Linked DNA regions of Drosophila melanogaster. The protein of the gene in region 1 interacts with the protein of each later gene in a pairwise test. Each region holds a gene or a part of one and is shown in the gene's direction. Other genes may lie near its edges.

Region 1 (8,946 bases):
TGTTAGTTAGCTGATTCGTTTGGTTTCTGTGTCAACTAGCTGACCTTGATATATTTTCACGATGGCCGATCAATGTTCAAACACGAACGCCTTGCGCAATTTCTAATGTCTCTCTTGTTTTTATATGCGTACTAAACCCCATCTCCATCTGCACCTTCATCGCCATCTCCAGCTTGTCGTCTTCGTCAGACTCGCCATCGTCGTCAGCAGTTTGCGACTTCTCTGGATTTGTGGAATTTTGGGCGATCGAGCTAGTCGCTGATCGATGTGATCGGAACTTGCTCGGAAAGCAGTCGACAAATTTGAGTGGCTCTGAATGGGAAGCCGTGTTAGTTCAGACTTTATTGTTTTAAATCTTTTTTATACGTGTATGTATTAGATATTGGGAGATCTTGAAGGGGATTTAGTTATAATCACGGGTTCTCTGGGGGCGGGTTGAAAGGAGAATGACTCGTGCATTGGTTTGTTATTCTTGCCTGTCTTTGGTATTTCACACTTTCGATTGCATTGCCTCAGACCTCAAATTCCACGATAATGTACGGGCGAGAATGATTTGCAGAATCGAAAAATGCCACTTGACTTAACCGTTATTTAATAATCAGAAAAGCACCAGCAGAAATAACAATTCCGCCATACACTGAAGTATAAACTAGTATATTTGGAATATAAGTCTATTTCATTAACTTATAAAGATTGAATGGAGTTATTTTTCACATAGAAATTTGTTAAATATACGAATAGGATATAGAACCGTATGGAACTGTATTTTCGGTACCATTTTGTAGATTCTAACCTTTTAATTTTCGAACCGTGTTTAGGTTTTGCAATCCAACGTGTCGGCTGCTTTTGTGGTTTCGAGGGCTTTTGAGACTCCGGCATCGCGAAATCAACGCATCAATCATCTTCGGTTGCACAACTGCAGGGAGGTGCAGTCCAACCAATTGCAGCTTTTCCCAGATGATAATACCAGTTGCCTTCTACCAATATGCTCATTAGCACCAGTCCGATGTAAATTCTACTGCCTTGCTATATAATCGCTAGGGTGATTTTACGAGATTTGCAACCTTGAACTCTGGTTTTTTATTATTGCCAAGTGCGGATAAGGCCAATAATACTAACGAGAGTCCAAAAATAAACAAGCGCCACAAAGAGCTGGATCCGAGTCACAAAAACTCTCCTAAGCTTGGCCCAATAAACAATGGCTTTGGCCGGCGATCGACACCCACCACACCACCACCAAAATTGGTCGTGGTTCATCTGCGTGGCATCATTACGATCGTCATCTGGCGCGGCTCGTCCGATTGAGACTTGAATTGAAGTCGATATTTCTGGGCCGAAGGTTGCGCTATTAAGTATACGCCGCATGTGCTCGCCAAAAACCAAAAGCCAGACTAACGATGAGAAGCATCTCGGAAAAAAGTCATTGTACTCCGCCAGGGAATGAGCTCTGAATAACCTGATGGTTCCGGTCATTAGGTCCCCGTTTATTGCGGTTGGATCGATGGTCGGCAAAGGTGGATAAACGGAGTATATCAAATCGATCGGAAGTCGCGGCCAAGTTCCTTCAACTTTGCGATTATGCAATCGCATTGAGAAATTAACACACTGAACTCAAATGGTGAACTGGTGCACTTTCGTTAATGAATTTAATTAGATTATGAATATTTTTCAGATTGCTTTAACATTTCGATTTGTATGTAAATTTTCTGCAAATGCTCAAGGTTGAATCTCTGGGTATAAAGTGCTTATTTATTTTGATTTTTTGTTCACATAAATTTTACAACTAGGCGTGGCTTGCCGGCACCTAAAACTTGTGTTACAATATATTGTCGTGCGCGGCATTAGTTAAAGGACTAGTGAAGTGCATTCTAACTGGGAAAAACATATCCATGTCTGGTGAGTACAGTCGCAGTCTAAATTCTGATGATCAAATGGAAAATTTCAGAGCAAGCGGAAATATTACCTGCCATCTCTGTCCATATAAGGAGGATCATTCTGATCTAGCATGGTCAATTCATCGTGAGCTTTTCCTCTAGTCATACAGCCACTAGAAAGCCCTTGAATCGATCGTATTCATACTTCCCCCAATATGGCAGACGCGTGTTTCGGATCTGTGAGATGGGATCAGCTTAGGGCGACATGTCTATACATATTCATCGTCTCCCCCGCCGACTGTTTGCACATGTAAATTTGGCGCGGCTAGATTACATGGTCAGTTACGTGTTATTCGGTTAGAATTCCGCAAAAAGATCTTGTGCTCGGCGGCCATGCAGCGGACTTTGAGACGAAAAATGCAAATGTTTGCTTTGTTGCATTGCTTGGGTTTTTTGTCGAAAAACGCATCAAAAGTGCAGGGTAATGGTGAGATTTTTAGCAGGTAAATTAGAATAAAGGTAGTTGAAGGGTCGTTAATTGAGGGTAAGTAAATCGTCAACCAAGCCGCTGTCAAAGTTCGATCTAATTGCTTAGCTCACAAAAATCGACTACGTAACGTTTCAAGCTTGCACAAATAACAAGTAAGCGTCGGGTCCTCCGAAATATTAAGTATCCGCCAGGTTGCCTGCAACATCCAGGTCTCGGTAGCCGCTTTTCCCATTCGGGAATTTGTATGTTTCAGAAGTTCACGGCGCATTTTGGCCATTTATTGGCCATCACGAAGGCAAACGGAGGAAAGCCAAGTATTGGTCATTATAAATATTTAAGAGCCCAAGAGGCAAACTGGTTTGGTCAGCCCCATCTTCTTCTGCTTTTTACCGCATACGTATCCAAAGATTGGGCTTTGTTGCTGGCAACCTTTCCGCCGCTCTCCCTCGCCGTGATTTGATTTGATTTGATTTGATTTGTGGCTACGTTAATTTTTGCACACTTTTCCGATATGAAGGGCCGGGCCTGGGCAGGGGTTAATTAACGGACATTCTTGCCGAACTTTGAACTGTGCAATCATGCGCGCTGCCAAGACGCGGCAAAAGTACCGCTCCGATATTTGGATTGGCGGCAATTAGCGCCGCACTTGGGTGTGGGTGCAAAGGCGGGTGATACCCCCACTGGTGGATACCAAGAATTCGATTCCAAAGGGCCGCTGGCCGATCTCGCTCTCGCTCTGGCATCCTGACGCCCGACCCGATCGCTTCGGCTGTCAGAGCGAGAGCACACATCGACAACCTGTTGCTCAGAACCTGTGGCTAGCGACCGAAGCTTTCGACTTCGGCTCACCTCAACGCCAGCGCCATCGCCACGCTCGCCGAAAATGAGCGGTCGGCGGCGCCGACGATCTGCGTCGACGTCTGCGCCAAGTCCGCTCCTACGACTGCGAGGCGGTATAAAAGTAAAGCGGCAGCGTGAAATCAAACTTATTTCAGTGTTTTTGATTTGAATGTAAAAAGCGCACGCTCGCCCAGTCGCTGTCCAGTTGTTGTCCAGTAAAGTCCAGCGGAGCAGCAGCAGCGGCAGATCGGTCGCATCAGCAGTAGCATCAGCAGCAGTTCCCCGCAACAGTGATGTAGAAACCATAAAACCGTATAACGATGGTCAAACAGTGTGTGCGTGTGTAAAACAATAACTAAAAACCTACAAGCAAGAAAAACGAAAAAAAAAAACGAAACGAAACGAACAAGGATAGTGCGCTAAAAAGTGATAATTCGTATACCAAAGTCGAGAGAATCTCTGTAAATTAGTCAAAAAAAAAAAAAAGAAAAAATAAATAAATACAGTACGCTTCCTTGTAACAAACGGAATATAAACGCGCATTTAGTACCTGTTGAAGCGAATTTTAGCACAATGGTAAGTAGCGGGGGTTCCCGACCGAACACCCAGTGTGACTCAACGGAAAATTGATGCCACTGAAACCTCCTTTATTAAAATGCCTTTGCAACCAGTAATTTCGATGCCGACCCCCAACATGCAAGCCTGAATAAATAAATATACATGATCGTACGTTGACTTGGGCTTTCCGTTAAATCCCACAACCCACAAATGACCCTTTGCACACGACTCGTGTGTGCTGCTGCTGCTATTAAGCAAGAAATTAATAATAAAAAAAAAAATAAATAAAGCTCCTATAATGAATATCCGCAATGCAGCCGTTAAAATTAATTGAGCAAATTATTAATCGAGAAAACCTCTCGAGCACCAGCCATTCCTGGTTCTTATTCGTTTTCTTTGGAAATGGAAAAAAACCGCACGCCAGCAACTGGTTTTCGTTTTCAAGTACACATTCGCTAGCAAGGTTTTCCACTGTTTTTTCCCAAATGCATTTTTGCCGACTCCGCGCAGACCTTTCCACGCTTTTCGCCCACTTTTCCCCCGCTTTCTGCCACAAAACATGAGCGTTTTGCTCTGTTCTGTTTTGCTAGAGCCATTCGCTTTCGAGCTCCGCCAAAAGTGCATACAGAAACTGCAAGTGCTGCACTTATTTCGAAGCTGTCGCTGTGTTATGTCCGCAGTTGCAGCAGCAGCACTTACACCAGCAACATCACTGGCTGGCGGTCAAGTGAAGTGAAGGCTGGCTTTTGGCTTTGACCAGCTCACTAGCCCACCAGCTCACCAGCTCACCAGCTCACCAGCTCACCAGCTCACTGGCATGACAACATTTCACACGGAAATGCAGTGCATCGCTGACCTTGAATCTCGGCCGGGGATATGGGATAACTGGCGATCGGAGCGCAGGTGAAATGATAGCCAGTCAGGGCCAGGCCGACTCATTTGTCCCGTCCACCTTACTTATGCTTTCGGCCCATCATTGCAGATGCTGCTGCTGTGTAGAAATCCAGTGATTTTCATATTCATTCAGCAGCTCTGCAAATTCGAGAGAAAAAACCCCAGTGGGTTAACCAATCGCCGCCGCTACTACCGCTGGCTAATGATCACTGGCATTGCACCATTTCACAAAAAAAAAAAAAAAAGAAAAAAAAAAATAAGCAGGCAACCCAGAAATCGAAACTTATTCAAATCTTCGAGTTGTTTTCTTCTCCTTTTGGCCTCTTACACAATGATTATTACACCTCGATTTTATTTTCGACTGGGACTTTTGCCGCATTTTTGTGTTGCCTCTTTTGACACTGAAAAGTGCAAAGGCGCTGGCGGCGAATTTTACTAGTTGCCAGTTGGCTATGGGCGGCTATGGGCTATCGGGTCTGGGTTGTTTGAGGCTGCTTGTTGGAGCCAGAGCCACTGCCACCCAGCTGCCAAACTGCGCAGCCCCCGCCAAGTGATCATAATAAAAAAAAATGTGCCTTAATCAGCCGATTTGCTTGCATTCCCTGTGGGCCAGTTAGCTACATTGGAGAGCCAGTCTCAGACGCATTGACGTCGCTTTATTGTTGACTGCCGCTCGGCACTCAGCTGTTTTTTGGTAAGAGAATCATGTAGAGAGCATATAGTAAACACAAAACCATAGGCAGAGTGCCCTCTTAGTACTTAGTGTGTGTGTGTGTGTGTGTGTGTGTGTGTGTGAGATAACGCTTGCCGCATGTGACTGAAATCGCAGTGCATTCGCTGCTCCATTTCGATTTGTTTGGCTCCACACGGCGTATGCGCGATTTTCTCAGTAGCTAGCTAGTCTTCGTTCACTTCAATTGCGAATATGCCATTTGGGCAAAGGTTTATTGTTCTACATAAAAAAAGTGCGTGTCTCTCAGCAATTTTTTTACTGGCTGTGTATATTCCCGAGCAAATTAACACTTAAAAACTGATAACGCAAGCGAAGAGAGGAATTCGAGGTAGATAAACGTAAAGAGACCATTAAACGGAGAGTACCTGAAAATGATTACATTTATGGACTCTTATCGGCCCGTGATTGAAGTAAGTGTCATTTGAAATTCAATTATTGCTCGTTGGAGATTAGACAGAAAAGTTATGCCAGTAAAGGTGTTAAAAACACTAAAAATAACAGCTTTTAAATTATTATTCAAACACGCTGGCTTGCATATTTTACAGCTCTTTGAGTGCCTTTTTTTTTTTGCAATTTTATACAAACTCTTCGTTCCCGAAAAAACAATTAATTTATACATATTTGTCGCTTTAAACTGGGTCGGTTGGATGAATTTATTTGTATAAATTAAATTATTTAGTGGGCCATGCTGTCATACCGAATTCGTGATTAAACATATTTCCATTAGTGCGAATTTAGATGGGACTTAGGTGCTAAAGTTGTTCGATTTTGTTTTTAAGTATTTTAAAAATGTTTAATAATATTTTCTAAATAATTTCCTTGTCGTACAACAATAAATTACAAATAAATTCCATTTTAAAGCAACGAACGCATTTGCAGTAATATATTTTCGACACATTTAATCCGAACACAAAATAATTAAATCAACATCAACATTGTGGGGCTAAAGCAAAATTTAAATTAGTGGACAGAAACAACCTGATAAATACGCGAATGTAAAGTGATTGAGGAGCTAAAAGTCATTGCTTGTTTAATTGTGTGGCTAGTGATTTACGGGCTTGGGGGCAGAGAACTTTAGGCTGGGAAATGGCAGCAGGGACGAAAACCAAAGTTCGACATTCCCAATTCGAATTGCATATTATGCCTGAATGCCTGAATCCAAATGGTATGGAACCATTTTTAATGCAATCGTCTAACATAAACGTTCACGAAAAAATCAACATTGGCGGCCTGACAAACGCAATGTAGAATGAATCAGCTAAAATATATCCCCCGAATTGAGGCTTTCAAATGGTATTTGGGGAACTCACTTACACTTACGCACATTTAGCCAACCTGTTGAGTATTTGCAGCTGTGCACTTGACTACTGGCTGAGTTTTTAGTTGCTGCAAAAACTGCTTTGCACTGAAAGAAATTGGTAATCATATAATCTTATTAACCAAAAAATAAAAATGCTCAAAGGTTTCGAATTTTCCAAAACCTATTGAAACTTCTTCATATTACCATATTTCTGACTGACCTAAATAGTTAGTGAATAATGTGGAAAATTAAATCTATTCAATACTTTATTTGCATAATCAAATCATTCAGATGACGAAACACGCCCAAATAAAATGTATATTAGTTAATTAATATTGATACATAATCAGTTAACTTGACTGTTGACCAGATTGATCTTCATTCATTGTAATATTTTAAATATTAAACAAATTGTGTTTTATTTAAAATGTATGCATTCATAAAGAGTTATCTTGATTGTTTTTTGTGTGAATTTCAACAACTTGCAACTTGAAACGCTGCTGCGTTCAGTGAGCGTAGTAAACCGCCCCCGAGAGCAACAACACCACTTCCTTGCGGCAGCACAGCCGTAGCAGCAGCAGCAGCAGCAATACAACAACATACACTCGAAAAAAATTGTCTTGCACTAATTACTGGCGATTTGGGGCCAACGACAAGCGCGCGGCTGGGCAGCAAGAACCACATACAACTCGATTGCCAAATTAACGCGATTTAGCTGCTTTTAAAAGTTGCCGGAGTCAAGACTTCTCTGGCGAAACACACACAAATGCGGATGCATATAGGCCCCGCATACATCTTATTGTTGCGGTGTGGCAAGTGCATTTGGTGCACATGTTGCTGGCGCGTTTTTTTCCGAACTCGGTTAGGAAATCGCCTGCGATTTCAATCGCGTGCAAGTCGCGCGCAGTCTGGTATTCGCTTGAAAGTTTAAAAACGCACGCTGCATTTTCAACTTGACCCACAACAGCCGGGAATCGATCAGCGGGCTGTAATCGGTGCTTTATTGTCTTATTATTAATACTTTATTTTTTTCTGGTGTTTTTTTTTTTAGCGGCTTTCCATTTACCGAAGATTTGTTTACGCATTTAACCAATCGCGGCATGTTGCATCATCGCTTGTCATATTAGACAAGATGCTGCCGGAGTAAAAGTCGCGGTCTGAACCTGAATGTTAACTCCGAAAGCCAGTTGCAGATACAGATTCGTATACACGAGCAAACCCTCCGCGCGCCTCTGTGTTTCTTTTGATCCCCCCTGTTTGTTGGCTGCGCTCAACTTGACCTATAAATTGATTTTTATGTTGCGCAGGTTCGTGCGACTGTGTTTGATTTTTCTTTGGCCCTCCCCATACAAAGCAATTTTTTCTTTAATGATCGAAAATCATTAAGTGCGACACGAGTTTGGGTCTCAGCTCCAATCGGCTTCGATCGATCGCCGATCCCCTGATGCTCCACTCATATGGGTTCAAACCAGTTTGGCCCTTTACATTTATCTCTCATTGCTTTTTCTTTTCCACTGCTGCGGCTGCTCTTGCTGGGAAAGTAAAAGTGTTGAGCTGGACAATTATGCGGCTCTACAAACGGGAAACCATAATTTTTTCTTACTGTGCAAATTGCTTAGTGCCGCCCTGGCAGATGAGACTTATATAAAAGTCGTTAAAATAAATCAAATCAAAGAAAGAGGTTTAGAAATGTAAATGCCGCAAATGCTGAATTTCTCTCACCAGGCCAATTGCAAATATCTCAAAAAGTAACGAAATAAAATCCGAGACCAAAAAGCCAAAATCCCAGTCAGTAAACCGCTCGGCCAGTTGGCCTTGTAAAGAAATACATGTGTACGTACTAAAATGTTAAAGATTTGAACTGATGTCTGTTACTACATCGCAGCCTCAACACCTATATCATCTTCTTCTCTCCGTCAGTCCAGTCGCTCGACGCTCTTTGTTGTCTTCCCAATTATGCATTTGAAACTGAAACCCGTCAGATACTTTTTTTCGGACGGCCTGGGACGGAACTTACAGTCCGCGAGCTGTGAGAGCAGGGGGGGGGGGGGTGCTTCGGTATTCGGGATTTCGGACGCTTGGGTTAATTAATTGCCAACATGTTGAAAAGTGTTAATAACATTTTTGTTGCCCGATTGGGGCTGCTGCTCTATCGCTGATAATTTAATTGCTTTGTCGACTCTGCGTCTCGGCACCAAGCAAATGCAAATGCTAGCAAATATATGTTTTTCTGTCCGCTGCCCATTTGATTTATATT
Region 2 (7,582 bases), on another chromosome or scaffold:
TGCACGTCCCTCATTCGTCCAGGAGGCGAGGAGCAGCAGCACCAGTGCAAGGCGTAGAACTTTTCCCACCATATCGTTCTGATTGAATTACCCTGCTGATTCGCGGTGATTGCAACTGACGCTAATCGGCGTTCCGGAATCAGAGCAGTAATATAAACACGACACCCCGAGAGATCAGACCAGATCAACCGTTCGCGTCGAGAGCTCCACACTCAATGATCTGCGACCCAGACCCCAAATAACTTGGCACAGGTAGATCTTATCTATGCTATGTGCTGTTTATGGGGGCGCCAGTTATAAAGGAAAATTGGAACCTGGCACGGGGGAGCTTAGCGAGAAAGATATGTGTAAATTAAGCTAAATTTCTATTTACTTTGGGATTCCCAGTAATTAGCCGTTATGCTAACCGAAGGATTAGGTTTCAGCACAATTGCAATGACTGCGTATAAAGAACATTTGACCGCGATTCGAAGCCGATAAGATTTCAAACAATAGTGGGTGGGCAAATTCTCAGCCTATTTATTTGCACTCGACTTTAATTGGCAGTGTAATGTTCGTTGGCCTTTGGTAATTCAGAACACAAACAAATTTGCCGGAGGTTAAGCAAGCGTATTTCCTATAGGAAGCTAAACAATGGATGCGTTATGATTTGATTTAACTCCGCACCGACTAATAAATTAATGCAAAAGCGACCGATCTGTTCGTGTGGCCGACATTCCGAAACCAACGTCTCCTCTCAACTGACGCTCAAATGTTCGAACAGAACTGAGAAGAGCTTATTAAGCGGGCCCTATTATTTGTTTAACTCTTCCAATTTCCCTGCAAGTCGCTGATGTTTGAGTGTCAAAACATAAATAAACAATTCAATTCAACACCCATGACGGTGTTTGATATTCTGTAAAGTTCATTGGCTTTTTTATAGGTTTAAAGTTTTGAAGTTTTGAAAGTTGAAAGTTTTAAAAAGCATTTTTTAAAACCAATTTTTATAATGTTCTAAAGGTTTCTAAGAATCTAAAACAATAAGTTTTAAAAATATCTAATCTTAAAATAACTAAAAATGTGTAAATGTGTGTATGTGCTGACTACATAATAATTAAATAATTAATTAAGTTTTTTAAACAAATATTTAAGAACTGTCTTTTAAATTCCCATTTTTAAAGTAACGGTCGAAAAATACTAGTCAGTATTTTAATACACCGTAGCGCATATTGGTCACACTGTTGAACAGCTGTTTAGCCGTCCTAAAGCAAAACATTTGATTATTTTGTTTATATCGAGTGCTAGTAGCATTATCTAAGCTGCAGAAATGCTGCACTCACAGACAATGCAATCCATACCCACTCTGCACCAGCCGCTACACTCCAAGGTATCGAACTATCTAAACAATCAGCGAAGAACCGGACAATTCTGTGACCTGCTCCTCGAACTGGATTCGGATGATTCCCTCAGCTTAAGCGTCCATTTCTGCGTACTGGCTGCTCAGAGCCAGTTTATAAACTCTAACCAGAAGCAACAGCAGTTCTCCATTCACAATCCGCTGAAGATCACCATCCGTAATTTCAGCTGCACCCAATGCCTGCACACAATTGTGGACTTCTTCTACGAGGATTTGGTGTCCGTGTCCAAGGAGCACGAACTGCATTTTAGGGAGCTAGCGCAAATTTTGGCTGTGACAGAACTACTGAATCTCTACCAGTTGCAGCCCTTGGGCGAGGCGAAGGAAGCAACGGAGATCCCAGCACCTGGAGAGGCGCAACCAAATCCAGATCCAGAAAAGAAAGCGGAGGCTGTGTTTGAGAATCGACAAAGTTACTTCAAGGTGGATAATATGTCATTGAGCCACTGCCGTAACTTATATTCGCCTTTTCCTTAAAGCTTAAGAACCCGCGAGCTGTAAAGTCCAGCAGCAAAGTGAACTACTGCATTGGCTGCGACTTCAAGTGCTATCAGGTACAGAAAATGATCGAGCACATGGGCAGCTGTGAGCCCTCCCATTTGATTTGCTCGCTGTGCGAAGTCGGCTTTCTGGACTGGCGGGAATACGACACTCACCTACGACGGCACTCTGGTGATCTGCGTAAGCCCTTCTTTTGCTTACAGTGCGGCATCCGCTTCAACACACGAGCTGCCCTGCTCGTCCATCAGCCTAAGCATTCCACGGAAACGCCGCACATATGTCCACATTGCGGCAAGGGCTTCAAGTGGAAGCAGGGCCTGAGCAATCACATCCTGGTCCACAATCCCGAGAAGCAAATGCTCTGCGACGTCTGCGGCTATAGCACCACGCACATGAAGGCCCTCAAGTCGCACAAACTGCTTCACACCGGAGAATTCTTTGCGTGCACAGTTTCAGGCTGCAAGCATCGAGCCAATCGCAAGGAGAACCTCAAATTGCACATTGAAACTCACAAACAGGGTCGCGATTTTATCTGCGAGGTCTGTGGCTGCAAGTTCAGCCAGAGCAAAAACCTCAAGCGTCACGCCCTCAAGCACACGGAGAATGGTCCGAACCGCTACAAGTGCCAGCTGTGTGGATTCAGCAGTCATCGCTCCGACAAAATGAAGGAGCACGTGCAGCGGGTTCACACAGAGAAACCGGTGCAGTTGGAGCTCTCGGAAACGGTGGACAGTAGCTTTCCCGATGACTTTGAGCTTCCCGTGATCGAAACGTCACCCAAGAAGAAGCCAAAGAGTGTTAAGAGCAAGACTATAAGGAATGTTAATCCTGACAAGCGACTGAAAACACTACTGCCCAAGGAGACTGTAGAATAGGAATAAAACGGAAGGTTACCCCATTCATAACTTCTCAGAGAAAGAGATTTGTGAGGCAAAGGTCAATAGTAAATATTTAGAATAACTATGTTGAAAAGAGACTGTATCAGCAAGTTTAGAACATTTGCTATATTTACAAAATGAGACGTGGGATCTCTCGTTCTGAGTTCTAGTACAACAAAATTGTATCTAGAATATTCACGGAAACCCAGTTTCTTTTTAAAGCCATTAAAAAAGAACCATCGAGAAATCTAAAGATTGATTTGCTACCAACGAATTGTAAATAAAGTGGTATATTGTGGCAGGTTCTTGAAACAACATTGTTGAGGCCGTTCTATCTTATCTAAGATGGTGACTACGATCTATTGCGTCGTTTGAAGACGAACTTTCAGAACGAATACCTGCCAAATGACTAACTAGAGCGATAGTTAGCACCTTATCAACGCCAGAAGGCTATGTATATATGTATGTACGTAACATTTGTTTATATAAAATCCATTAAACCAAAACAAACTGAAAGCTTTTCGCTATTCAGAAATAAACAAATGCGTTGCCTGGTGGGAGGGAAGTGGGTCAACCGATCAGGTTCTAATGCACCAAAATAAATATCCATTATGAGTATATCTTTTGTAAATCAAAAATGTTATTCGAATTATAATTATTGCTAAATTGTTTCTTGTGCCCTAACATTCAAATATTGTTGAGTGTAAAAAAATAAACAAATTTTGAGCAGTGTATCCAGAACATATGATGCATTTAATTCTATATTTATTGGGTGGAGAAACAAATGCAGGGTAAATGCACTTTGATGGTCGTTTGCGGAGGGCCAAGGTGGGTGTGTGTTATGTAACCACTCAGGAACGTGTGTATGCTTAAAAGTTCTTAAATTATTAAAATAAATGAACAAGGCGAAATAATATGTTTGGCGATTTCAGTTTTTTTGTTTACCGCGCACTTTGTAAACAGCAAAAAATTAAATTGCGCAGCAAAAATTGTCAAGGAGGCACTCTCTTGAGCGCAAAAGGGTTGTCAGGCCCAATAACTATGAATTTTAATAACTAAAAATTCTTTTACATAAAAAAGAGCAAATATATTTTGTAAAAGTTCAGTAGAAAGTTATAGAAAAATTAAATATTTTTAGTAACTACACGTAAGCAACAATTAAATGCCCTTCTAGTAGTTTCTTTAGCTAAATCCGGCAACTCTGACGGAGAGAGAGCTTTGGTTACGGAACAGAAAGCTTGCGCGCCTATAAAAGCCGCTGCTCGACCGAAAAAATTCAATTCCGTTCGCAGCTCAGCGAAAAGTGAACAAAAAAAAGCAGAAGAGAAATTTGGAAAGCAGCCTGCAAGTTTGCAGAGAAACAAAAAGCAGACACCAACCAAGAACGCAGTTAGTTTTGCAACCTTAAATCGCCATTATGTCCGAGGCCCACTTCGATGAGTACGAGCACTACAACTTCGACCATGACAAGCACATCTTCTCTGGACACAGCGGCAAGCAGCGCAACAAGAGGGAGGCCAATGAGCACACCAACCACTTCGATCCCTCCGGTCATTCCCGCAAGATTCTGACCAAGCTGATGAACACCAACAACAACAACAAGAAAGCCGCCGCCTGCAAGAACTGATGCAGGGCATCGACGGAGGCGGTGGAACAGGAGAGAAAGAAGTAACGGGGCCGCGCTGAAAGGAGAAAAGAAATCTTCGAATTTAAAAGGAAAGCAAAAGCAAAGGAGAGAAGAAAAAGAAGAACAAGCAGCAGTTTTGCTGGAAGGAAAGAAAGAAAAACAAAAGCCAGCTGGAAATACACATTGCATTTGTATTGTGCATTGGCTTTTCATGCGGCGCTAAACTTTGTGAACATTATAATAATTTTATTTCGCTTATAATTTCACAAACACAAAAAAAGAAAGGCACATACTACTCTTAGCTTCTAATATATTCCTAAACTAATTCAGACTTGCAAGTTTTAGTTGCTAAGCCTTAGAGCGTTTCAAATAATGAAGTTTGACTTAGGTAATACATATAAAATAAAGAGAAAACCAAAACTGAATAGCCTGGTCGTCTTATTTTCATTTGCATTTGCAGCGCACCTTTCCAAGCGAGAGAGCTTTTTGAATGCCGTTGGTGTGCTGTTGTGCATATTTATAGCCTTTTAGTTGAACTCATTTGCACTCAGCTCCTCGATTATCGCAAAAGCAGTTGCAGTCGACTTTTTTCTTTGTTTACAGCGATCGACCAAAAAGAGAACATGTATGAACATATTTATTTGTGTATGTAATGTATGTATGTTAGTTTGCAAACGGAAATATTCCCGAGACCTTCCATTGAAAGTTCACCAGTTACACAGGTAATTAAACTTGCACACACATATTCCTGCATCATTTCTTCCGGTTTAAATTTGCGTGTAAGGTTGCATTTATGAATATTGCGCCGCTTTTATTGACTTTCAATACTAAACGATATTTTTACATTAGGTGTCCAAAATTACAAAAGCTATGTTATTTTCCACTCACAAACAAACAAGCACACGTACAAAAATAAACCGAACAAACTTTTCCAGAAAGGTCCACTCTAATGGAATTCTCTCCTCTCTCTCGCTCTCTCTCTCTCTATAAACGCCATTTGCCGGCTTTTTGAATTGCGTTGTTGATATTTGGTAAACAATAAAACAGACTCTCGATCAGGTGGTTTTGCTATAATGCATATTAATGAAATTGTTCGAACATATTGACAATTAAAATTCCAAGACTCTTATGTATGTTTAAATTCGCATTTTGGTTAGTCATAAATATTCCTTATCTTCATTAAATAGCATTTCGTCTGAATCATTGATCTATCTAAAAATGTGGTGTTCCAAACTTCAAACAAATAGAAGGTGATGAAAAACCTGTTTTTTTATAAAATTAAACATTGCAATATATTGCGTGTTAAAAGTGCCTTAGAATCGGTTTTTTATTTTTATTAAATGTATTTCTAAATTAAAGATTCGTTAAACTCGCATTACAAAAGTAAAACAAAATCGATAGATAAACATTATCGCCGCGGTTTCAAACAAAGCAATATCAACAAATAAAATTTACAATCGAGCTTTTTAGAGGAAAACAAGCAAGAGGTCTAAAAAACGAGTAAACAATTTTGGGGGTAACGAAACTAGTTTGCCACGCTGCGTTTCGCCGGTAAACATATGACGCATTAATAGTTCAGTAAAGTCTAGAAATCGATAGAAGTTGAGGTCTATACATATTTACATACATACATACATTCATATTTATGTGTATGTAAGATTTGAAGGTAAGATAGTACATCGAATATACATACATACATATGTATACATATGTACATATGTACATATGTACTTCGTGATTGCACTTTTCTAGTTGCGCTCTTAAGATTAAATACTAACTTCATAACATGAGCAATTTTCATTTCATTTCAATTCGCATTAAAGAATAAAATTGTTAACATCGCTTTCTTTTCTAAGATATGAGTTTTAATAGGTGGCTACCTATATGTATCTATATAATAAACTATGATAAGCTCATATGTGTATACAATATTCTAATACGATATCCTTTCTTTTTGGTTACTTTGTGTAGTATACCAATTTCCCAAAAAAAACTGTGTATTAGCATTTTTAAAATGGTGTTGTCTTCAAATTTCGAATCGTTAAGGCGATCTCACCAATGTACAAACACCCCATTGATGTTGACTTAACGTATCTTAATTGTAGAAATAGATTTCTTTTCAACCCCATTAATGAAAGTCGCACGCTTGCCACGATTTGTGTCTAAATATGGGCATGTATGCAGCTTCCTAGATCGTGATCTTCGCCTGGCACACGACCGACGACGGACCTCGATGGCGGCCACTCCACAGGCGTGGATCTTTGTGCTCCAACGGCACAAAGCCATTCCAATTACGATTTCCTAAATTCCATAGTCCATCTTCTGGAAAGAGAATCATATTGCACACTTTCACCGCGAAAAAAAAAAACGAATTTGTGGCGAACAACAAAATCGGGAATTATGCATAACTGAATGGAGAATGGAAGTTAGCATCGGATGGGATGGGATCGTAGTACTGGCTACATTGGTGATATGGATGGTGCTAATTGCCGCGGCACTTGGTGGCTTGGATGAACCGTTAAATCGAAACTGGAGCACTGGCCCAATAACGATGATGCACGCGGCCCGCGGATTAGCACCTTTCAACGAGCCACTACGGATGGATGTTCTAGATACCCAAAAACCCGCCATTAGCACCATTGCCGGGCGGAGTTTTTCTGGCTCAGCATTGGGACATCTTCGGTTAGTTGTCGACTTAACTCCGAGCCAACTGGCCGTGCGGTGTGTGCTGAACCAGGATTCGAAACAATAGAATCAATAGTGACAAACGGATAATGTCTGCCTACGAGAAAATGCCGGCGAAGGCGCCACGACGCCTCTCACCCATATGGTTTCTGGTGGTCACGTTTCTTCTCTTTGCCACCACCTTAACGGCGCTGGCCGTGATCGAAGCTGGACGGGCACAGAGCAACGCGGGCGGAGAAAGCGATCTCCTAATCCTTACGCGCATGTGGAATCATTTCAAGTCCGGTGCCGATAATGATACAGAAATTGCCACGGTGGAGCGAATTGCTAGGGATGCCGGAAATGCAAGCAATCCGAGTGCATCCGCATCGCAGCAGGGCAGAAACTTCTACGAGGAGCAGCAGGCGGTGGTGGTGAATGCAGAGAGCATGGATTCTCCCGTGTTGGGACAACGCCAGGATGCCTACGGTCCGCCGCAGAGTCGCGAGGATTCCT
Region 3 (7,580 bases), on another chromosome or scaffold:
ACCCAAGAGCCAGCAGAGTCCGGATCAGCTGGTTGACGTACGCAGCGAAGTGCTGATCCACTTTCCGATGAGATCGCTGCGCGAAAACTGCCTCTGGCTGGTCGCCCGCTGGCTGATCCGGACGAGCAACGCGCCACGGAGGATTATCCACGGATACCACATACCCTCGACGCTGAAGCAACAGCTGCTCAGCCTGCTGACCTGCATCGAGTCCTATTCCCGAGTGGCGGGCACGCGACGTCGGCGTTAGGAGCACACTCCTAGTTGTTAGTTAAGAGGGCGGGTAATCATCTTAGGGACTGAGAGACAGGCTTGATTTCCAAATAATTTAATAACTTTAATTGATTTCCATCCTGGTTTTCGATTTTCGCTTATTACTTATGTACAAATTGGCTTGCATAGAGCTCTTTACAAGTTGGGCTACTACCATTGCATTGATTTTTCTGTATATTTAACAGATTTCTTATACCTATGTATGTTCTATGTAAATAATTATGTATAAACCTAATGTGAAACAAGTGTGAATATTACATACATACATATATGCGCAATACTCTAGGTCTAGTTGCTTCAGATGCAAATACGATTTAATGGTATGTCTGCAGTTACTCCTTTGCAATGCTTATCTACGTGTGTCGCAAGCCTAATTGTTATAAGTCTGAATCTGAAGTACATATTTATTCCTAACGAGAAGTGAACAAACAAAAGTACTCCGGTGCACTTTTAAATTTAAAGTTAACGCTCGTACAGATTCTCCTTGAATGTGTTTGTGTTTGTCCACGAGTCGAGTCGAGAAGAGATGAGACGAATCGCAGGTTAACTCAAATATATTGCAAAATCAACTTATAAAAATATAAATTGTTAATCGATCTGCTCAATCTCGTTCTCATTCAATAATGCATCGGTACTGCTTCGGTTAGGCGGGAGATCACTTGCCAGCGTTCAATACTTGCGCGTCACGCGCTCCAAGCTATCCCCGATCGAACCTATGGGGCGGATATATATAAGCACAACTCTCGGTTAGGCAATAGCAATTGCAGAAATCAAGTATGCGTTGTGTTTGTGATAGGTGTTCTTGTGTTGTTCAATGCGTGGGCTCTCTTATTTACCATCGTAGTTGAAATTCTGTTTGGTCTTGTACTGAAACGTTAGATCGGTCGACTGCTTCCAGATAAAGTGGCGCACCGTGCGCAGGTCCATGTTGGGGTCCACAACCTTTAAAGGAAAGGCGGTGAACAAGGTCCTTTAAATGAGATTTGTCCATTTGTCTTACCACATCGTTACACCACAGTTCAATTCGTTCCTCAGCTGGCAGTTGGGATCCCTCCGAATTAGCATCGCTCTGGCTATTCTGCAGTGAATTGTTAGCATTGCCCCCACTTGGGGTAGTTTCCGCATTCAGCACCTTTTCAAGCACGTGCTCGCAGACCTTGCGACACTGAATAAATTCATTAGCCACAAGACGATCCTAAAAAATTTAATATAAATTGCGTTAGAACATGAGTTTTGTTTGCTGTCAAGGACGGCTACCTTCTTCGTTCGTTCAGGCTTGGTCATTTGCGGGTGAGGCTGCAGGAAGAACGGTATTTTGAGGAACTTGGGAATGTTCTTCTCGATCACCACGTCGGTCACCCACTGAGGCGCCGTTTCGTGGAGCAGGGTACTTTCGCTATCGCCAGCTGCGTCGCGTACCAAAAGTCGGCAAACAGTGCGGCCACCCACTTCACTGTTTAATTTAGCCAGAAATTTGAGAAATTAGTTATGGTGCAGATAAGGTTATATCACAGTCACTAACCTAAAGATGACGGGCGTGTGCTTGGGCACTTGGAAGTAGCCATTGCCGTGCATATCGGGTTCCATTTCGTTTGGTGGTATGCTATGCGGTGGTGTCCAGTACTCTAGCAGGGCTTCTAAAAGTAATTTGCCATAGTTGATCTATAAAAAAACAAAGCATTTTAAATGGCATTTAATATGTGAAGGGGTCTGATGAGCGATCAACCTTAATCTCTGTTGTGGGATCGACGCACTCCGGCAGTCCAGCTTCAATGGAAACCCAAGCGGAAAAGCAATCCACTTCCTCCTGACCCAATACAATCGTTGGCATCTGCAAAGCATAATTAAGTATAAACGAACTTAAGCTTCAATAGAGCTTAGCTTAACTCACCCCGGTTTTCAGATCAACAGTGAACCAGTTTGGAATGTAGACCTGCTTATTACGCTTCTTCACCTCCGCTTCGAAATCAACAGCGCCCAATTGCTCTTTTTTGACAACTCTCAGCACATCGTACACCACGACCTGATCTTGTGAGTCCTTGGTTATGATATAACGTTTGTCGTTCAGCACCGCGCACTCCTTGATGGCGGCTCCACCTTTTATGCAGGCCACCTCAGTGCCGCCCTGTGTCCATTGTGCGTCCATTCCGCCCGAGGAATTTAGTGTGCACCTGTCGTACATGGGCAGCTTCCAACAGCGAATGTCCGAGTTCCAGGTGGTGGCCCACACCCCAGTCTTGTCGATGTTGTAGCCCAGACTCAGCACGGGCGCCTGCTCCTCGCACACAAGCGTTTTGTTACTAGGGTTCCGCATCTCGGTCACAATGATGTTGCGATCCCGACTGCCGGAGATGATGTACTGGAAGTTCTCGCTCATCAGCAGCGACCACACGCCCTCCTTGTGCACGTGGATGGTTTGAACACAGCGCTGTTGGCCCAGGTTCCACACCTTGATCGTGCCGTCGGAACTGCCAGACACCACCTGGTTTCCATCGGGCGACACCACCAAGCAGCGCACGTTCTCCGTATGGCCTCGCAGCTTCATTCTGCGCATACAGGTGCGGGGATCCCAGATACGCAGTATATTCTCCGTGGACCCGCTCACAATCACGGTGCCCGATGGATTCATGGCCAAGCTGTAGATTGAGTCCTTGGACCCGGTTAGACTAGAGGTGGTAACCGTGTTATTGCTCGCCGTGAGCGCGGTCAGTGTGTTCACGTCCCACAGGAAGATGGCCTTGTCCAGTCCAGCGCTGGCCACCTGTTCCCGATCCTTGGCGTAGGCCAACGCCTGCACGTAGTCGCGATGGGTCCGCAGGGTGGACATGCAGAAGCCTTTCTGGGCGTTCCACACCTTCACCGTGGTATCACAGCTGGCGCTAATAACTATGAGTGCAAAAGATTGAATGTTTGAATGAATGCCTAAACTGATCGGTGGAGCAACTCACGGTTCCTGCCATTACAGCAAAGTACTATGTCGTTGACCCAGTCGTTGTGGTGCTCCATCGATTGTATGTACTTCTCGCTGGAGTCCGTCCGTGTATTCCACACACGGATTATGGCGTCGCGACCGGCGGAGTACAACTTGCCGTTATTGGCATCCAGCTGCAGAGCGTTTACGCCATTCCGGTGCTGTTTCTCCTCGGCGTCCCGTATCACGAAGGAAACCTGGCGTCCGACGGTTTAATTGAATTAGTTTGGGCTTAGGTGTCCGCTTTCCTTCCCGTTTTCAATTGGCGCACTCACCTGCATTTTCTTACGTGCCTGACAAGTTTTGTGCGTCAACATGTCGTCCACGGATCTGCTGCACTGTGGCTCTCGGCGATATCTCTGGACTGAAGTGCTTCAGGAGCTGGCGTTGGTTGTTCTCTGCTCGCGGGGCGCGCACATTTATCGACGTTGCTTTGGGGCGGCTGATATTTACTTTTTGCAAATTGAAATTGAGGAATTTCCAGGCAACTACAAATTTTTCGCACCTATTTCGCTCTCTGTCTCTCCCCATTCGGTCCTCCCACCTCTCAGGCACTCCTCCACTCATTCTCCTGCGCCGGCTGGTGTTGCCACCTGGTTGTGCACACCGTGCCGGCTGTTCAACAGAGTTGACACTTCTTGTTCAGAAAGGTGACTCGTTCCGGAACCACTAAACTTAAAAATTCGAAAATTTTTAAAAAACCAGCCAAGAAAATAACTATAACATTTGTTTTTAATTGTACATTCAGGAAATATCGGGGCTAATGTTATGCAAATACGCAAAACGCCCACTAACATGAGCGCTCCAAGCGTTAAAGCCCTTGATAACAAGTACTCTCCCTGTCAGATATGTACATTTATATATTAGGATCTCTCAGACATTGACATATTATATTGGTCAAAACATTTACATCTTTATACACATATCTACCTAGAACCAGTGATATACCATCTGCAGAGTGTCCGCGAAGACCGACATAACTTTCACATATATCGCGACCTGGCAGCCCTATTCTTTACATAACAAGAAGAAGAAGACTCGTCGACCTCACCGGGATCCAAAAACTTAATTGCATTTTCACCGATAATAATGGCCGGGACACAGTCAAAAGACGCCTGCAGCATATGCGACAAAGTGGGCCTCAAGCCCTTCACCCGGGATAATGTGTTCAACTACTACATACCGCTGCACGGCCTGGTGAGCTACGGAGCCCTTGCGGTGAATGTTATGAACCCCCAGATCGTGCCCAAAATCCTGCCCAAGAAGGACCTGACGAACGTGTTCCTCATCTCCGCGGTGGTGGGCAGTGCCTTCTACATTTACGGCAGGCCCCACCTGAAGGACGTGAAGAACAACAAGCGAGGTGCGTACGCCCTGCTGGGCGCCACCCTATTCTCCATGGGATCCGTTCTGGCCTGGGCGCTCATCAAGTCCGCCCTGCCACAGGACAATGCACTGCTGGCGACCCTGGCGGGCTTGGGAACTGGCGCCGCCATCGTGAAGGTCGGCACTGATTACATTCAGGACGTGGATAAGCTGCAGAAGAACTAGATGATCTGATCGATACGATATAGGACTGAGGTATTCGAACCCAAAAGTGGGTTCGTACTGTAATTGCTGTCTTGGCCGTACATAGCTCGTAATGCAATATTATCTCCCGCATATTTGAATAAAATTATACTATAAACCCGACTGAGCGGTGTGTTTTGCTGTGTCAAGAGATGGATAATGCCGGGTGTAGATTGAAAATGTTTGCGTTTATTTTAAATTAAATGTACCTTTAATTGCCGTCTCTTAACTGCTAGTAATGCTTAACAATTGAATTGTTTTAATTTATGTTATGTATGTGTGGTATATGCGTTACCTTTATAAATGGTTACTTCGTTTATATAAAAACATCTAATCGGAAACGCCAATATGTACATTCTTGTCGGATTAAAACATTCTACAAATTGCCTTGGCGACTTTGAATTGACGACTACTTTATGGTAAATATATTCTTTTTGTATTGCGAATTATACACTTTAAACTTATTTTTAATTCTTGTATACATACTTTACAAACGCTCAATGGTCGGACTTAACTATCAATAAATCAGTATGTATATATATATATATACCATTATATATACTAAAAAAAATCATTGAAAATCGTTGCAACGGTTGTCTTCAAAAGGAAATGATTTTCGCGCTGCAAAAAATTCGAATCAACTTAGTTATGAATACATATTGCATTTACAAAAGGTTGCTTATTCGCACAGCATCTAATGCGGGCACCTCCAGAAAAGGGAGGAACTCGCTGCTGCCGCTGTGCAGAGAATACTATGCTAGTACAGTAGTTACGCTCTAGGGCCTATAAACAAAATAAGCATTATTGGAAGATGCAAGCGATTGCAAATATGCAAATATTGCAATATGTTTGCGGACTACATTACAAAATCAACAAAGCGCTTAACGCCTTTCGCGCGAAGAGGGATGCAACAATTTAAATTACATTTAAACTTGGCCCGCCTGATCAACAATAAAACCGATGTGTGGACTTGCCCACTGACTGGATTAGTTGCTCCCGCTGCTGCTCTTCAGCTGCACCCCCAGAACCTCCCGAAGTTCGCCTAGCTCCTGCGGTCCCTGCATCAAGCGCTTGACGCCTCGCGGCAGACCACGGCACGATGCCAAGTTGATGGAGCTCATATTTTGGCAGTTCGTCAGTATTTCCTTTACCGCCTCATCGGAAACAGAGGAGCCGCATAGATTCAAATGACTGCAGGGGAGAAATAAATTATAATATATATTAGCACACAATAGATACATTAGTTCAATATATACTCACGCCAACGGCGAATCTCTGCCCTTTTCCGCTAGGGCGCGCAACGCATTATCAATGGGCTGCTGCATATTCGCCCAAGCCAAATCCAGTTCTATGAGACTGTGCGCCCACTTTGAGGCAATGAGTTCCAGACCCGACCTACGTTGGGAAAACTTTTGATTAGTCTGCGTTCTGCATAACAATGCTAATTAGACCCACCCCATATCTCGTGTGACTGAGCAACCTGACAGGAATAAATGCTTGATATCCCAGGCAGGTAAGCGGATTAGGCTCTCGTGCGTCAGTCGTGTACAGTTGCGTACGTCCAGTAGCTTTAGCTTGGAGCTGCTCTTAAGGATGCGCTGCAGATGGTCGTCGCTTATGATGCGGGATTCATCTGTTAAGGCAGCCACGGACAGTTCTTCAAGTTCCGGAAAACCAGGTGAGTCCATCTGCAAAAGCTTTCTTTTAAAACATAGTTCGAACATTGAAATGCGAATCTTACAATTTCCTGCATTGATGCCGTGCTTGGCGTTATATGAGAGTTTGTCACACGCAGGACCTTTAGCTTCTGGCAGCCACGCTGCAACTTCTCAATGTGGAGTACACCGTGTGATGTGGCCTGCGTGGTCACGTTCGAGAGATCCAATAATGTTAGATTCGGACAGTGCGTCTGCAATATGAAAAAGAAGCCCATAAGTCATAGGAAATAAGTTGTAAAAGCGTTGTGAACTCACCGAAAGAATTCCGACTATTTGTGGTATTCCTGCCAGACGATTGTGCGCCAAATAGAGATGTGTTAGACGGCTGCCCATGGTCTGGAGTGCATTGCATAGGGAGTTGACACCCACGGCGCTCTTGCTGGCATTCATCTCAACCTGTGCGATACAAATTTGAATCAGATATAGCTTCGCAAACACATGCCACAACATACATTGATGGAACTTAAGTCCAAGCGCTGCAACTTGTGCATGTTATCCACCAAATACGTAAGATGATCCGAAGTGAAACCTTTCCAGCCGGAGAGCGTAATGCCTGCAAGGTTCGGGCACCCGCTTGACAATTTGGCAAGGAAGCAATTTATGTCTGATATTTTCCAATTGGCTGAAAGGAGATATTTTAAAATTAAATTATAGTCTCAAGACCATACTTCTCAACTTACAAACATTCAAGTCTGTACAGGCACTGCAGCGGTTGTCGACAAACCACTTGAGCTTGAGTTCGGTGCGATATTTCTCTTTGACCCATGTGGTAAGATCCATAGTGCGCCACAGAGTAGGCCTAAGAGACACCTGCCGCCAGAGCGAGCAAACTCTGCCAAGGCGAAACAGGGTGGGCAGACAGCCCTGTGTATCCACAGCATGCTCAAAGATCTGTAAGATGAATTCATATTACGAACACCATTTATATGCTGCTTGGTTTAATTCTCACTCTGAATAGGACTTCCTCGGGCAGCTTTTGAGCCCAGACACTCTGCTCGACTGGATCGCCAGCCGCCTCCGCAGCATCCGGACTCGTTGAAACCTTCTTT
Region 4 (8,164 bases), on another chromosome or scaffold:
GGAGGCCATTGAATTTTTTTAATTAATTATTTAATTAACTTAGCTTGGCAGATAACATTTACAAATACCCATCCCGCAGAAATTATATTTATATTTTGAGGCACATTTTCTGTGAGCCTCTTTTTGAAAGATTTGCTACCAAAAAGGCGAACAACTAATCAACAATTTCAAAAACAACAACATTTAAAACAAATTTCGCTTGGTCGAAGTCAACATTTTTATTAGTTTCTTTTGAATGCCTTCAGCATTGGTATTTATTTATATATTTCATAAAAGGTATCTCGGCAAACAGACGTGGCTGGAGGAGATGCTCATGTACTAGCCGTCGAATTACAAATGGCGTAATCGGGAATTTTGGTGGTGCAGATATTGTTCACCTCGTCGTAGTACGGCGCATTGGTGGGACATGATCCGGTTATTCCGCTGGAGCAGATTGTGTAGTTCTTGCAACCCTCATCTGCCATGAATGGATTGTTAACGTTCCCACATCGGTTATGGGTACAGACAAAGGAGGCTGGCGAAACGCACTTGCCAGCATTGAATTGGGTACCGGTGGGACATTGGTTCCAATAGCCAGTGGCGTTTACTGCTGCACAGTAGTAGTACCCATAGCAGGTGACACCATCAGAAACGTACCTATAGTCAACAGATTCCCCATTTACAGTAAGTGGATCTGCTGCTTTAAAAGCTTCTTCGTCACAAGCAGTTGCATTTGTTTGCCCAACAGTGAACTGGTCAGAGTTTCCACTGTTTGAATCTTCGCCGGTGCACGGATTCGTCGACTGGCAGTTGCCAGTGGCTTTATTATAGTAGGGATTGGCGGTGCTGGAACATTTTTCGGAAGTGCCATAGCCGTTGACGCAGTTGATGTAGTTGCCGCACTGGTTCGGATCGCCTACAAAGATGTTGGACAACATGAACCGACAGATGGTGTCCTGCGGGCAGGCGGGTCCCCATATACATTTTGTGGAGGATGCCGAATAGACGCCGCCGGTGCCGCAATCGCCATAGGAGATTTGGCCTGTGCCATCGCAGTAGGCGTATTCGGTGCAGTTCAACGGATTGGCCACATACATGGGAGATTTGACGTTGGAGCATGTCTCAACGGCACTGGTGGAGCACACCGTGGTATTAGCGTAATCACAGCTGCCGGCCTGCGCGTTGAACACCAAGCCGTTGGGACAGGTGCCCCAGGCCACAACCTCCTGGTTCTTGCAGTATCCCCAGGCATGGCAGTTGCTCGGATTGCCGATGTATCCATAGCCCGACCACTGTTGGCACAGATCATCCATCGTGTAGCCGGTGGCCTGCGATGCCATTAGGAGACATGCGGCCACGACACAGATCCTCATATTGATTGCTAAATGGGGGATACAGGGGGATACGAACTATGAATTATTAAATAAAATATAGACATGTGTAATCGTCGAATAGTTTTCTATTTTGTTTGTACTTAATAATGCAAAGAAATTATGCTAGAAACGACAAAATTGATAGCTTTCAATCCAAAATTCGTGTTAGCGTCTCTAAAATTGGTTAAGCCTTTGTTGTAGCCAACACGGCAGCCCTTTTTTTGGATAAAAAATCAATTAAGGACGAAAGAAAAACTCAATTTGAGTAACAAATCGAAATTTGAAAGTCATTTTAGCCATTTTTGAAAGTCATCTCCTTTGCAGGAGAATTTCAGGGCCTTAAAACCATGTTTGAAACCACTTTTCAAAATTTAGTCGAAGCAAGACGTCTTGAATACTGTGCACCTGAGATAACTGTATCCGTTCTTCGAGCCAACGTACCTCCCATCTTGGAATGCTAATATTTTTCGGGGACAAATTCACTTGATAGACAGACGACCGAAGCGAACGTTCCGATTTCGTTACTAACTCAATCAATTGCAGCCTTTGCGTTTTTATAGTTGACAATTCGCGGCGCGAACTGGGTGGGTAATTAAAAAATTGTCAGCCAGATAAGCCAGCCGCCAGTAGGGCGTTAGTATCGAAATTAATGCTAGATAAGATTCTAAGGTCTGGGGTAAACCACGCACCTTGCATCCCTCCGAAGTTGTTGGGTTAGCTTGAAGGCGGTTCGAAGGCGTTGGACGACGAAAGTGAAACTAGCGGACCCGGCCAAAATGGACTGGCTTATAAGCTCAAATCGATTCTTGGCCAGCGGACACCATACATACTTAGTTTAGTATGTATATATAGTTTATATATATTTTTATACGTTGACAGCCGCGCCGGAATTTGGATTATCAGCTGCTGATTGCGAACCCTCTTTGTCTATAATTGTTTTTTAATTTCGAAGAAGCTCGAGGAGGCGGGAAAGTGTCACGGCTCTTATTGATCACTCAGTGGTGTTTCCCTGGTATCTCGGCACTCATTTCAGCAACACGACATTAGTTAGATATCTCAATTTGAATCGCACTGCGACTCTTGACTTGACTTGACTAGACTTTCCTCTGAAGGTTATCAGGTTCTGGGGAAAAATTACCGAACTACAAATGTTTATATTAATAACTTGTCCAAAAGAACCGTTTGAACTGAAATACAAAATAAATAAATCGCACTATGAAATTATGAAATTATGAGTTATATATATTTATTTATTTGTATGCATAATTAAATAGTACAATTATATGCAAGTATTTTGAAATTTTATTATCTATCTATATAATCTATAAAAATAATTGATGTTAATGTTTAATAACAAAAACCCCATTTTTTTAGTCAGTTTTATTTTCCGTTAAACTATTTTAAATCTATCCGCCTTATTTTATTGTTTCGCCTAAAAGCGAGTTTTGTCCGTTTAGAAATTCGCCCATAAGTATGCAATGACATTTAAACACTTTACTCGATACTTTTTCCAAATCACAAGGCATTTTCGAAGTAATTTAAATTCTTAAAAAATAGTTCAAGCTACGTGCTTATTTACTTTTTATATTTAATTGGTAGAGTACTAAAAATGTTTTTTTTTTTATAATAAAGAAGGGAAGCTCTCTATTAACCCACTAAGCCTTATGAATTAAACCAGCTGATCTTGCTCTTCATTTTATTACTATTTTTTGGCCGAAATGATAACTTATCTACTTCCTATTTAATTTACCGGTAGCCAATTGGCAATCTCCAACTTGTTTATAAAATCACCATTCACTACGACTAGAAATCACCCAGTACTTTAGCAACGAAAAATATAATTAATTTTTTCTGAAGTAAAATTTTATGAATGCTCCTTAAAAACATTAAATTTATAAATACAATTTTATCAAACATTCCCATTTTTTGTGCTCTATCATTTACCTTTTCAAAAATATTATATAGCAAATCCCTAAGCAAAATCAATACATTTGATTGTAATCTTCGAGCTTTTAACAAATGACTTCTATTCATCTTTATTTAACCCATCTTACCCAGTTGAATACCCCTCAAAAACCAATCCGCTTATCTTGCCAGCAAATAGTGATTGCTGCTTATCCTCTGATATTTATAAGTAATCGCAGGTCGACGTTCAGATTCAGTACGAGTTTATGCTTTGTCCAAAGTTGAGCTGTAATGGAAAGTGAGTGGATTGCAAACTGCCAGTGGTGTAAATCTAACTTTATTGTTTTTTCAAATTGCAGAATTTGGTGCCATACTGGGCGTGGCACTGGTGCTACTGCTTCAAGGCCTAGATGTGGTTAATGGCCGGAATGAGGACATCTGCCGCTTGTTCTCCAATAATACGGTGATCCGAGATCCCGAATCCTGCAGTCAATCGATCACGTGCATCGATTCCGTCAGCTACTACAGTACATGCACGGGATCTACTCCGTTTTTCGACAAGGACACGGGCAAATGCGTTAAGTCACTGTCCACTTCCACGTCCAGCTGCTCGATATCCTGCGCGGATCGGGCCAAGCAATTCGTGGCCGACCCCAAGTCCTGCTACGGCTACTATTACTGTGCGGACGAGGAGACGGCCTTGTACGGCACCTGTCCGCAGGAGACGCACTTCAATGCCACCACCCAGATGTGCTCCCGCCAACACGAATCGGATTGCACCACCAGCACCTTCGAGTACTGCAGCATTGTTAAGAACGGCGTAAACTTCGACAATCTGCAGGGCTGCAATATGTATCACGTCTGTGAGAAGGGCGTCCTGAAGGACAAGACATGCTCGAAAACCTATTATCAGGCCAGCACGGGCGAGTGTGTGTCCAAGGCTCTGGTGGACTGCGATGCCCATCCGTTGCCCACGGATGTCTGCGGCAAGGCCAGTAAGCCCTACGAGAACAAGTTCGTCGCGGATGAAGCCACCTGTCGCGGCTACTTCTACTGCGCCAAGCAGAAGGATGGCACCCCGGACCCCAATCCGGTGTGGAACCAGTGTCCCCAGGACAGATTCTTCGATGCGAGCAGCCAGATGTGCATAACCCCCAGTTCGGTCTATTGCTCCCACGATCGTTGCGACGGTCGGACTGCTAGTTTTGTCGTTAGTGCCACCAAGGGCTGTCGCAACTATCTGAGCTGCTCCGACGGGGTAACCGTGAGCGAGAGGTCCTGCGGCAACTACTTCTTCGACGACCAGCAGGGCGCCTGCACTCCAAGTGTCCAGACCTACACCGCGTGCAAGACGTAGGCATGTATTTCCAATAAAGCTCAGAATGCAATGTGATATTTGGTTAAGGAAGTGTTGTAATGAAGTGCACTAGTTTGGATTCTTTCGGGGACTGTGGAACCTGGATTGTCATAGATATAGATACGCGGCTCTCTAGCGAGTTCGTGTTTATGCACAATGACAAGTTTCTGCTGTAAGCCAGTATCTTTGCTGTAACTCGAGGATCGTAGTTGAGATATATTGTTTTTTTACCCGTTTTTATAAGAACGTAGATTGTTTTCGTTGCTCTAATGCTTAAGATTAGCTACCAAAAAGAACAATAATCTTAAACAAGTTCTAGTTCGAAATTCGAATAAATAATATCTGATGGGTGAGTGAAGAACACCTGTATTTTGTTTAATATTCCTGGAACAATTCAGCTGAAAACTAGGTAAATGAACAAATAGAATTTTAAGAATTCACTCAATCATGGAAACTTTTCTTGCAGGTGGTAACGATGGAATAGCATGGCCTCACCGAGGAGACCATAAATGATAATCACTGTCCTATTCGTTGGTTACAATCAATGTTTTCAAAAGTTCTGATTTTCCAAACAAAAACCTATCGAAAGCGACAGTGAAATAGCAAGGCAGTATATTTTAAAAGGTTGTCATATTTACGGCACAATAACTGCTGACCGTTTAATCGCATCAGCGATAAATATATTTATAGTTCAATTAATTAACGGCCAACAGAAGGTTCATTTGACTCGTAACTACCGTGGGTATACCTCATTAACTAGTGGCACTTTCCTTTTCGACTGAAGTTGCCAAAATTTACTATGAAAGTGAGTCGTTAAGGAATCTGCAGTCAGCTGTCTCGATTTCAATCGATTTCAATCACCAATTACGACCTACTTGAAGGGTTTTACCTCCTTTCGCACAACATTGATAAGATTTGCTCATAAGAGAGGCAATAAAGCGCTGGTATCAGCAGAAGCAGTGGCAACGATAATGACTCCTAGTTAATATAAGATTCTTCCATTCACGAAACTCCATTTAGTCGCGCGTAATTGGTTCCCGAGGCCACATCAAACCACTCGATCTATTCTGTTGCAAATTAAACCAAAGTTTCCCAGCAATCAGCCATGCTAAGTGAGTTTTATGAACCCATTAATTTACCGTCATAGATATTTACTTATACACCCTGATTCAGCCTTTATTTTTAGTGAAAAGTAACAGCTTGCATGCGTTTTTAAAGATACAATTAAAATGTAGAATCTAGATATTTTGTTCATTCATATTCATTTTTATAGGTATATCTTTAAAGGTTTTTAAGCATATCTATATGTTTTTCAAAAGGTGTGCTGTATCAATCTAATATCTCGCGATCATATGTATATCATTCGTAGACCTCAAACTTGGAGTGCTTCTCGGATGCGTTCTCTTGTTGGCTACCGTAGCTCTTTCGGCGAGTGTCGGTGAATACGAGGAGCTGTGTCGCCTTTTCAAGAACGGGACCAAGGTTCGCAAGCCCGGCACCTGCGACCAGTACATTCAGTGCTACGATGGCAACGGCACCGTCCTGACCTGCCCCTCCAACCAGTCCTTCAATCCCAGCAAGGGTAGTTGCGTGGACACGTTGGCCAACAGCAACAAGTACTGCGGCAATCGCTGCGAGGGATTGGATGGCGAATGGGTGGCCGATCCGACCGAGTGCCACAAGTACTTCTACTGCATGAACGGCGTACCGCTGGCGGGGATGTGTCCCGTAGGCCAGCACTTCGATGAGCGCTCTCAGTCCTGCCTGTACGGCGTGGACTCCATGTGCGTGGATGTGAACAACATTTGCGAGCTGGTGGCGGAAAATACGAAGTTCCGGAATGAGAAGGACTGCGCCTACTACTATGAGTGTGACAAGACCGGTAACCATGCGTCCAAGAGCTGCACTGTCACCTCCAAGAAGCGCGAGTATTTCGATGTGGAGAGCGGCAATTGCGTGGAAGCCAATAAGGTGGAGTGCACCGCCCATTCGAAGGAGAACGTCTGCACCAGCAGCACAACAATGACATTCAAATCCGACCAAGCCACCTGCCGTGGATACTTCGTATGCAAGGCCCTCTATCCCGTCGCCGACCTGGATCCACTGTGGACGCAGTGCCCCGAGGGCTACTTCTTCGACGAGGATCGGCAGCTCTGCGCCAATCCCACCACAGTGGTGTGCACCCACAACAGATGCGACGGACGCGGCACGATGCTGGTGACCAGCAGCAGCAATAACTGTCACAACTACATCCGGTGTGTGGACAACAAGGAGGTGACGGAGGAAACCTGCCACTGGGATCACTTCTTCGACGAGACAGTGGAAGCGTGCTCCTCCAAGATCATCTACGATAAGTGTTGCGATGGCCGGGACTAAACAAAAAATAAATTTAACTAAAAGTGCAAAGAAAAAGAGGTAGTTGATTTTTATTGGCGATCAATATATCCGTTAAAAGCAAAGACACTAGAAAGGTACACAGGTTAAAAGGGTATACTAGATTCGTTGAGAAGTATGTAACAAGCAGAGGGAAGCGTTTTCGACCATATGGAGTATATATTCTTGATCAGGATCAATATTCCACAAACCACCCAAAACTGTCACGACCACACTTTCGAACAATTTTTAAATTATGGTTTGGTTTTTAATTTCTACTAATATTCAAAAATATCGGGGACTTCGACTATAGCATTTTTTTTTGTTTTTATTTTGTTTTCAAAACAATTATATTTACGATTTGGCTTGAAATTTCAGTTTTTTTGGGTACAATACAAACATATACTATGTGCTTTATGAGCAATCCATTAATAGCACACATTTAAAATTCAGGTAATTGCCCGTATGGTACGCATTAAAATTAGACAACACATTTCTAATCTTTCTAAATTTAGAAATCAATTAGTTTTATCGTTCTGTTGATCAGTTACCAAAATGTAGAACAACATCCACATGAAAATACCAAGATTAATAGTACCGTCTTGTTAACTGTTTCTATTTGTTTATCTACAAAACGTAGTTGAGTTAATTTGCAATAAAACGAGAGCTTATGCTCAGGAAAATAAGAACTTTTTTATATGTATGCGTAGGACAATGGGAAGTAAAAAATAAATCCGCAGTTTTTTTTTAGAAAACTCAATTAGTTTTGCGTTTTCCATACGAAGTTGCCGCTTTGTTGTTGCATTTTTGAAATCATCAACGACCGTTACATTCGTAATTAAAATTTTACCGATTCGGTTTCGGCTGTTATCGATAAATACACCCGCACAGAGAATTTAAGTCGCAGCACTGCGCCTTGCGTGTTGTTGTACTTTAAGTTGTACCTAATAATAATTCCTCAAATAACTTATACAACTTAGCTCCACGATGTCTTTTAATGCTTAAATTGAATTAATTAATGTTTCCAATAATGCGTTGTATGATGCTCAAAAAACGAATGCGCGCGCAGAGTGACCATGTGTACCCGGTAAAGAGATGTTGGTGGCGTTGTGCGGCTGCCACACCGCCAGAACGGTATAAACAATTTTTATATTTTGCACTTTTAAATGTCGGAAAA

What was found.
Region 2: the proteins of Elovl7 (region 1) and CG6770 interact in a two-hybrid assay, tested with the Drosophila melanogaster proteins (one large-scale study listed by BioGRID).
Region 3: the proteins of Elovl7 (region 1) and CG13220 interact in a two-hybrid assay, tested with the Drosophila melanogaster proteins (one large-scale study listed by BioGRID).
Region 4: the proteins of Elovl7 (region 1) and CG17147 interact in a two-hybrid assay, tested with the Drosophila melanogaster proteins (one large-scale study listed by BioGRID).

The regions. Positions count from the first base shown.
Region 1 is NT_033777.3:7,990,254-7,999,199, reverse strand, and holds the start of Elovl7 (ELOVL fatty acid elongase 7), read left to right. Parts: upstream 1-3,347; 5' UTR 3,348-3,777; coding exon 3,778-3,780; intron 3,781-8,946. UniProt on the Drosophila melanogaster protein: Catalyzes the first and rate-limiting reaction of the four reactions that constitute the long-chain fatty acids elongation cycle.
Region 2 is NT_033779.5:12,042,586-12,050,167, reverse strand, and holds CG6770 (uncharacterized protein), read left to right. Parts: upstream 1-4,049; 5' UTR 4,050-4,192; coding exon 4,193-4,402; 3' UTR 4,403-4,825; downstream 4,826-7,582. Other genes in the region: PLCXD (Phosphatidylinositol-specific phospholipase C X domain containing), read right to left, coding at 1-72; Plzf (promyelocytic leukemia zinc finger), read left to right, coding at 1,307-1,819, 1,876-2,772; CG6785 (uncharacterized protein), read left to right, coding at 7,177-7,582.
Region 3 is NT_033778.4:11,280,165-11,287,744, forward strand, and holds CG13220 (uncharacterized protein), read left to right. Parts: upstream 1-4,118; 5' UTR 4,119-4,333; coding exon 4,334-4,795; 3' UTR 4,796-4,934; downstream 4,935-7,580. Other genes in the region: Vhl (von Hippel-Lindau), read left to right, coding at 1-250; CG9062 (uncharacterized protein), read right to left, coding at 943-986, 1,110-1,215, 1,274-1,468, 1,531-1,726, 1,796-1,935, 2,000-2,104, 2,165-3,159, 3,222-3,441 and 1 more; Fbl6 (F-box and leucine-rich repeat protein 6), read right to left, coding at 5,800-6,004, 6,074-6,208, 6,269-6,501, 6,555-6,722, 6,787-6,927, 6,984-7,153, 7,212-7,422, 7,481-7,580.
Region 4 is NT_037436.4:20,218,304-20,226,467, forward strand, and holds CG17147 (uncharacterized protein), read left to right. Parts: upstream 1-5,628; 5' UTR 5,629-5,719; coding exon 5,720-5,726; intron 5,727-5,983; coding exon 5,984-6,990; 3' UTR 6,991-7,021; downstream 7,022-8,164. Other genes in the region: CG6933 (uncharacterized protein), read right to left, coding at 312-1,360, 1,758-1,800; CG17145 (uncharacterized protein), read left to right, coding at 3,549-3,555, 3,617-4,614.